Notamacropus eugenii: one gene and its partner. The protein of the gene in region 2 interacts with the protein of the main gene of each other region in a pairwise test. Links are inferred from orthologs where the notes say so. Each region holds a gene or a part of one and is shown on either strand. Other genes may lie near its edges.

What was found.
Region 1: the proteins of MAL2 (region 2) and TPD52 interact in a two-hybrid assay, tested with the Homo sapiens proteins (2 studies listed by BioGRID and IntAct). The link is inferred for Notamacropus eugenii from reciprocal best matches to the Homo sapiens genes MAL2 and TPD52.

Annotation. Positions count from the first base shown.
Region 1 is NC_092875.1:303,170,779-303,174,533, forward strand, and holds the start of TPD52 (tumor protein D52), read right to left. Parts: upstream 2,624-3,755; 5' UTR 2,609-2,623; coding exon 2,356-2,608; intron 1-2,355.
Region 2 is NC_092875.1:126,086,328-126,090,082, forward strand, and holds the start of MAL2 (protein MAL2), read right to left. Parts: upstream 2,868-3,755; 5' UTR 2,637-2,867; coding exon 2,511-2,636; intron 1-2,510. UniProt on the Homo sapiens protein: Member of the machinery of polarized transport. Required for the indirect transcytotic route at the step of the egress of the transcytosing cargo from perinuclear endosomes in order for it to travel to the apical surface via a raft-dependent pathway.

The sequences.
Region 1 (3,755 bases), about 180 Mb from region 2:
CTAATTTTTCAGACACCTAAACTACAGAATTATCATTAATAGATGACATTTTTATAACAATGTAAGGTTTATAAAGTGTGTGTGTATATGTATAAATACATATATATAATCTGTGTATGTATACATGTACATATATATGTAAGTGTGTGTGTGTGTGTGTGTGTGTGTGTGTGTGTGTGTGTGTGTGTGTGTAATTTGAACTTCATAACCCTGGGAGGGAGATTTTCTAGGTATTTTACAGTTGAGGAAAAGGATGTTTACAGAACTTAAGAAAACTGCCCATTATAGAAAAGCTTGGAAATGTCAGAGCTGGGATTGAAACACAAATCTTTTCTCACTCTATCTCAAATATCCATACCACTATATTGGGTTCTTCTCCAAAGTCATCATTAGGGATTTTGGTACTGGAGGCAAATTGGGAGAGGAAGGACAGTCTTCCCCACCAGGTGCCCTCAGAATAGTAGAGAAGCAACCTTTCCTCCAGACAATTTGGCCCTAGTCCCCATGGCATAACTAACTACCCCTCATATTCCAGAAGGAGGGGGGGAAGGCACCACACAGAAGGATACCATGGGGAAAGGTGAGCTTTAGAAAAAGGGCAGGACATTCAGGAGTAGTGAGATGCTACCAGCGTGAGCCCTCCCTTAGTACCCTAGACCAAGGCCTGATCATCCTGCCCTTAGATGTTAGTTTCTGCCATTCTTTAATAAATCTCTGGCAATGCTCTTCCACTTATATTGATACTAAGCCAAACCTGAACATTGAAATATTTGCTCCATGGTAATGGAACAGGGAAAAAGAAGGAATAAGACTACAGTACAAAATTTAACTTCACACAAATACAAATAAGCTTCTGACCTAAATGCTAAATTCTTGGATTTCTCTAAGGAGAGGTTCCCAAATATCCCCCAAGTTGTTACTGCCTTCTCTTTCCCCACCCACACACTGTTGTTCATATATAGTATATCTTTCAGTGTGATTTAAAAACAGCCTTGTAAAAAGTCTCTGTTAGATCCTTAAATCTGTGGAAATCTTGCCAGCCAAAGGCAGAGACCTTCATTCAACAACTCCCCCATCCAGAAGCTCCTCCATCTAGCATATCAAAGACGAGGACAAGCAAACGGCAGATGGGGATCTCAGTGTGGATGGGATCTGTCATCTCTGGAGATGAGCACATTGAAAATAAGAGTCTGAAAAGAAGTATGATACAATATTTTCCCCCAAAGAGGAAGTAAAGAGAAGATACTTTATAAAACTAAACCCCAAGAAAGAATTAGAATTTTTCAACTTTAAGGAACCTCGAAAGGCAGCATAATATAGACAACAGGAAACAGACCTTGGACTCAGGAAGCCTTGGGTTCAAGTTTTATATCTGACACTTGTTTGCCCACAGGCAAGTCATTTAATGCCTCAGCATCATCAGGGAACTCTCTGAGATTAAGTTGCAAATTGTTCTTCATCAATGGAGGCAGTTTTCTCACCAGGTGTTCCATACCCTGATGAAATCATAAATCTAGGACAAAAATCTGTATTCATTAATCCTATAATTTCTATTCTTTGCAACTTTACTAAGCTCAAAGCCAAGTCAAGTCAATAAGCATTTACTAAACATTTATTATGGACCAGGGAATGTGCTAAGCACTGGAGACAGAAAAAAAAAAAAGCAAAAACAGGGTCCTTTCCTTCAAAGAGCTTAGACTCTAAGATGGGGGAGACAATACGCCAACAACTGTGTATATACAAAACATAAACAGGGTAGATATCAGAGGCAAAGTATTAGCACTGAGCAGGACTGGGAAAGGGCTCTTGCCAGTAGGATTGGAGCAGAGACTTAATGGAAGCCAGGGAAGCCAGAAGAGGGAAGAGCAATACAGGCATGGAGGACAGTCAGTGAAAAGTCATGAAGTTAGGAAATGTGAGGAATAGTAAGAAAGTTGGTGCTACTGAATTATAAGGTATATGGAAGGACATGTATAAGCAGACTGTGAAAGTGAAAGGTAGGAAGGGGTCAGACTGTGAGGAGCTTTAAAATTCTTTAAAATTCTTGTTCAGTCATTTTTCAGATGTGTCCAACTCTTGGTGATCCTATTTGGGATTTTCTCGGCAAAGATACTCGTCTGGAGTGGTTTGTCATTTTTTTAGCCAGCTCATTTTATAGATGAGAACACAGAGGCAAAGTGACTTACCCTGTGTCACACAGCTAGATTTGAAAACTCACCTAGATGAATCTTCCTGACTTCAGGCCCAGCACTTCATGTACTATGCCATCTAGCTGCCCTTTATAAGCATTTTATATTTAATTGTAGAGGGAATCATTAGAGTTCACTGAGTAGAGGATGACAAGGTCAGACTTACACTTTAGAAAAATAAATTGGCAACTGAGTAGATTGAAGTGGGGAGAGACTTGAGGCAGGGAGACCAACCAGAAGGCTACTGCAATAGTCCAGGTGTGAGGAGATGAGAACTTGCACCAACATGGTGGCTCTGTGAATGGAGAGAGAGAATGGAATTCACAAGATGTGAAAGCAGAATTGACAAGATGTGGCAATGGTTCAGATGGGGGAGGGGGGGGTGAATAAGAATGAGGAGTTGAGGATAACACCTTCATTGCCTGAGTGAATGGAAGAATGGTGATGCCCCTGGGAAATCGGAATGAGGGAAGCATATGGGGAGAAAGAGCATGAGTTCAATTTTGGAGAGGTTGGATTTGAGATGATCTATGTGACACCCATTTTGAGACATCCAAAAGGCAAATGGAAATACAAGACTGGAGGTCAGGAGAAAGTTTGGGACTCTGCAAACAGATCTGAGAATCATCTGCACAGAGGTGACATTTGAATCCATGGAAGGTGACAAGATCAACAAGTGAAATAATACAGAGGGAGATCAGAAGAAGGCTCAGGATAGAGTCTTGGGGGACACCCACAATGAAGAGGAATAATCTGGATAAATAACCAGCAAAGGAGCCTGAAAAGGAACACTTAGATAGGGAAAAGGGGAACTAGGAAGGTACAGTACCAGGAAAACCTAGAGGAGATCATATCAAAAGGAAGATGACCAAAGTGTCAAAAGATCCTAAGAGCTCAAGAAGGATGGGGAGTAAGCAAAGGTCATTAGAGTTTGAAATTAAAAGATCTCTGGTAAACTTGGAGAAAGCCTTTTCAGTTAAATAATGAGGTCAGACAATAGGCTATAGAAAATTTAGTAGACAGTGAAGAGAGAACAAGGAGTTTAGGCACAAAAAAGAAGATATTGGCATCGGATGAAGTTAGGGTTTTTTGTCTTGTTTTTTTTTTTTCAGTATGAGACATGGACATACTTATAGTATCTTTACAGCAGCCAGCAGCCAGCAGAGGCAGTGATTGAAAATTAGTAGAGTAAAGATAACAGAAAGGACAATCTGTTGGAGAAGATGGGATGAAAAAGGATCAAGAAAACATGCAGAAAGGTCTGCCTTGGTAAGAAGGGTCATCCTTCATTATAGACTGAGGTAAAGGAGGAAATAGCTGAAGACATCTGAGTGATATGAGGTGAGAATGAAGAGCAGAAAAGAAGGAGTTCCTGGTGAATGGACTCTTTTTTTTTTTCAGTGAAGAATGAGCCGATGGAAAAGTTAATAATGTTCATTCTTCTCTGCTTCTCTGCTATCATTAATAGCCTATCTGTCCTCACTCTAATTTCAAGTGAAATGTAATTTTTTTTTTCCTTTCAAAGGTTCTGGAGTTCATGAATTTCTCAAGACTTCAGACTGGGGT
Region 2 (3,755 bases):
AGTGAGGTGAAAATTGGAAAGTGAGATGGGTGGTGATAGTGAAACAAAAACGTGGTTTGTTTTTTGTTTTTTCTTTTTCTCTTTTCAAGTAAAGGAAGGCCTGAAACTGTCTAAATGAGAAAATCAGAGAAGAATGGAGGAAAAAAAGGTCAATAATTCTAGAGAAAAGGGAAAAGTTTATGAGAGTGAACGTAAGGTCAAGGCTCCTCCTGAGGTGGGAAGGGCAAGAGGTACATACTTTTTGAAGATGAATAGGTTAACCTTTTCTCATAAACTGGAGAGCAGATGAAAAGAGGAAGACATATCTGTTTCTGTACAGGGATTAAAACCCATTTATCTTCTCATCAATAACATCTCTTTCACAGACTTGAAATATCACCATTCTGTCTTGTTCAAGCTAAAACATTCAAAACTTTTAAAAACTCTTCTATGTTTGCCTTTCGAAGCTGTTTCCCTTTCTTACAGGCCCACATCAAAATCAGTCCCATCTTCCTTTCATTAATTTTGCAAAGATTCCCAGAACCAGTCATCACTAGGTACACTTTCAGATGCTTCTGATGTGGGCTCAAATTCAAAACTGCCTCCTTCAGCCTTGCAGTATCTTATTACTCATGTCGGTAGCCTGTAGCTTAGTTAAGTCTCCATTCTCAGATTTAAATCTGAGCTAAACTTGAGTGGGGATGCGTTGGCAGTGCTGGCATAATAAGGCAGAATACCAAATGCTCCAGATTCAGCTCACATCACAAAACAGAAACTGAAGCACCCAGATCGAGGTTATGCAAACTCCAAAGAGGAGGGGTGAAGAGAAAAAGCCCAAATCAAGCAAGCCAACCAACCTGCAGAAAATAAGGTTGTATGTGGAATTCATTCCTGTATTTGTCATTCTCAGTGTATGATGCAACATAAAGTTGCCCAATTTTTATTTGCACTTTTTTTCTTTTCCGGTCTATGCTAAAGCTCTCCAACTCATAAAATCCCATTTTAAAAAAGAGAGAGAAACTCCCCACCCCAAGAAATTTGGATTACAGTCTAGGTGACAAAATATGGTCAGAAGTGACCCCACCCACACCTGCAGGAGTCATGCTCATAAATGATTGTGTGTGTTGGAGGGGAGGGAAGGTGCGGAAAACAGGCAACGCCAGAGTCACATTTTTTACCCTCCACCCAGATTTCTCACACCCACCTGGTGTGGAAGCTGCCAAAGATCCTAAACCTGGACTGGGAATCTCTCCTCACCACAAAAGAGTGTGTGTGTGTTTGTGTGTGTGTGTGGTGTGTGTGTGTGTGTGGGTGTATGTGGTGTGTGTTGTGTGTGTGTGTGTGCGTATGCGTGTGTGTATGGTGTGTGTGGTGTGTGTGTGTGTGTGTGTGTGGTGTGTGTGGTGTGTGTGGTGTGGGTGTATGTGGTGTGTGTGTGTGTGTGTTTGTGTGTATGTGTGGTGTGTGTGTGTGCGGTGTGTGTGTATGGTGTGTGGTGTGTGTGTGTGTGGTGTGTGTGGTGTGTGTGTGTGTATGGTGTGTGTGGTGTGTGTGTGTGTGGTGTGTGTGGTGTGTGGTGTGTGTGGTGTGTGTGTGTGTGTGTGTATGGGTGTGGTGTGGTGTGGTGTATGTGTGTGGTGTGGGTGTATGTGGTGTGTGTGTGGTGTGGTGTGTGTGTGTGTGGTGTGTGTGGTGTGTGTGTGTGTGTGTGTGTGTGTGTGTGGTGTGTGTGTGTGGTGTGGTGTGTGTGTGTGTGGTGTGTGTGTGTGTGTGTGTGTGTGTGTGGTGTGTGTGTGTGGTGTGGTGTGTGTGTGTGTGTGTGTGTGTGGTGGGAGGCCCACAGTAATTCATACTCCCAGTCTTCTGCCTTTCTCCTTGAACTCCCCCTTCTACCCTCTCTTTCCAATCTCTAACCGGGAGCCTGGAATTACAATCTCATGGTCACCGACTCACAAAGGTAGCTACACCTTTTCCCAGCCAACAAAATGGCAGGTTAGCAACAGGCGAGGCTGACAGAGCGTCTCTTTACCCTAGGCTCCAGCCGCCCTTCTGGCACGGCCCTTCTCTGCCAGCTCCGGCCACCCCATCTCCAGCCAAAGGGGAGCCGAGCAATCCCTTCCCCCTTCCAAGATGCCGACCCACTCCTCATTTTGAATATCTCCCTTTCTCCTATCTTAAGCAACAGACAGCGAGTACCCAAACACGGAAACCAGAAGCCAGGTTGCCAATGTAACAGGTGCCAGGGCAAGCAGGGGAGCAGGCCACGCGGGGTGGGCTCCACCAGGGTGGCAGCGGCGTGGAGTGGGGAGGGGGGAAGTTGGGAGTGGAGAAGAAAGAGGGTAAGCAAAGGAATTTGGAGGGAGAGGACGGAGAGTGAGCAGAGGAGCGGGGCAGCGGGAGTTAGAGTCCGGCATGGACAATGTTTCTTCGTTGACTCCCTGTCCTCTCGCGACCCCTGGTACCTTCACCTACCCTTCCCCTGCTCTCTTTCCTGACCCTCTTCCAGATACTTTCGCCCGCTGCCCACTTACAATCTCCAGGCAAACGAAGGCTCCGGAGTAGGTCCGGAGGATATCGAATCCCACCGGCAGGGTGACCCTGGGCGCCGGGAAAGACACAGCGGGGTTGGGTGGCATAGACGCTCCGCCGGCCGACATGCTGCTGCTGCTGCTGCTGCTGCTGCCGCTGCTGCCCCTGCTGGGTGTGCAAAGGCTGCGAGACGCCCGCCTCCACGACTGCCAGTGCTGCCACCGTTCAGGGTGGCGCAGGGATTGCTGCTCTCCGTGCGGGATCCCAGGCGCGCCGGGAAGGGAAAGCAAGGGAAGGGAGTGGGGAGACGCGGCTGAGTAGCACGGGCCCTTCCCTTCTGGCAGGCGGGGGCGGCTCGAGCCCCATCACGTGGGCCCAGGTGAGCCCCGATCCCCCTGGGCGTTCTCTTCGAGTCACGTGTGCCAGGGTTGGCCCAGGTGCCACTGTCCAGGCCCTCCCGATGCACAGCCTTCTGTTGACTGTCTCTCCTTTCCACCCGCTTTTCCCTCTCCCTGGGCCTTGGGCATTCAATGAATAACCTCTGGAGCACCAGGACTCTCATCTGCCTCCCACCGTGGTTCGAAGGGAGATCCACTAAATCGATTGCCTCTTTCTTTCGGCTTCTTCTTCCTCCCACCTCCTCCCACCTCCTTTCTCCCAACCCTTTGACCCACTTAGTTAGATGGAGAACAACAGTCTCACTACCTGTCAAGGTGACTTAGGAAGTGAAATCACAAGCTACTTCCAAAAGACTGGATTATTTTTAAGAGATGGTGGGAAGAGGTTAAGTGGATTTTCTAATTTTAACCTTTTTTTGCTGTAAAATCACATTTTCTCTCTTGTAGTAAAAGAAATTATTTTGCAGTGATAGTCATACACAGTTTCCACGTACATCCTTTGTTCTTGAAGACATTGCTTAAAAAGGATTCTTCCGCTAATTCCCCATTGTTTATGCTTTGCTGTTCATTCGTTTGAGTCCTATCCGACTTTTAGGGACCCCATTTGGAGTTTTCTTGCCAGATACTGGAGTGGTTTGCCATTTCCTTCCCCAGCTCATCTTTCACTGAGGAGGAACTGAGGCAAATAGGATCGAGTGATTTGTTCATACAGCTTGTAAGTGTCTGAGACCACATTTGAACTCAGGAAGATCAGTCTTTCTGACTGCAGGTCCAGCACTCTGTCCACTGTGCCCCTAGCTGCCCTTTTATGCTTCACGAAGTCATAACTCTTTCAAAATAATTATTTTC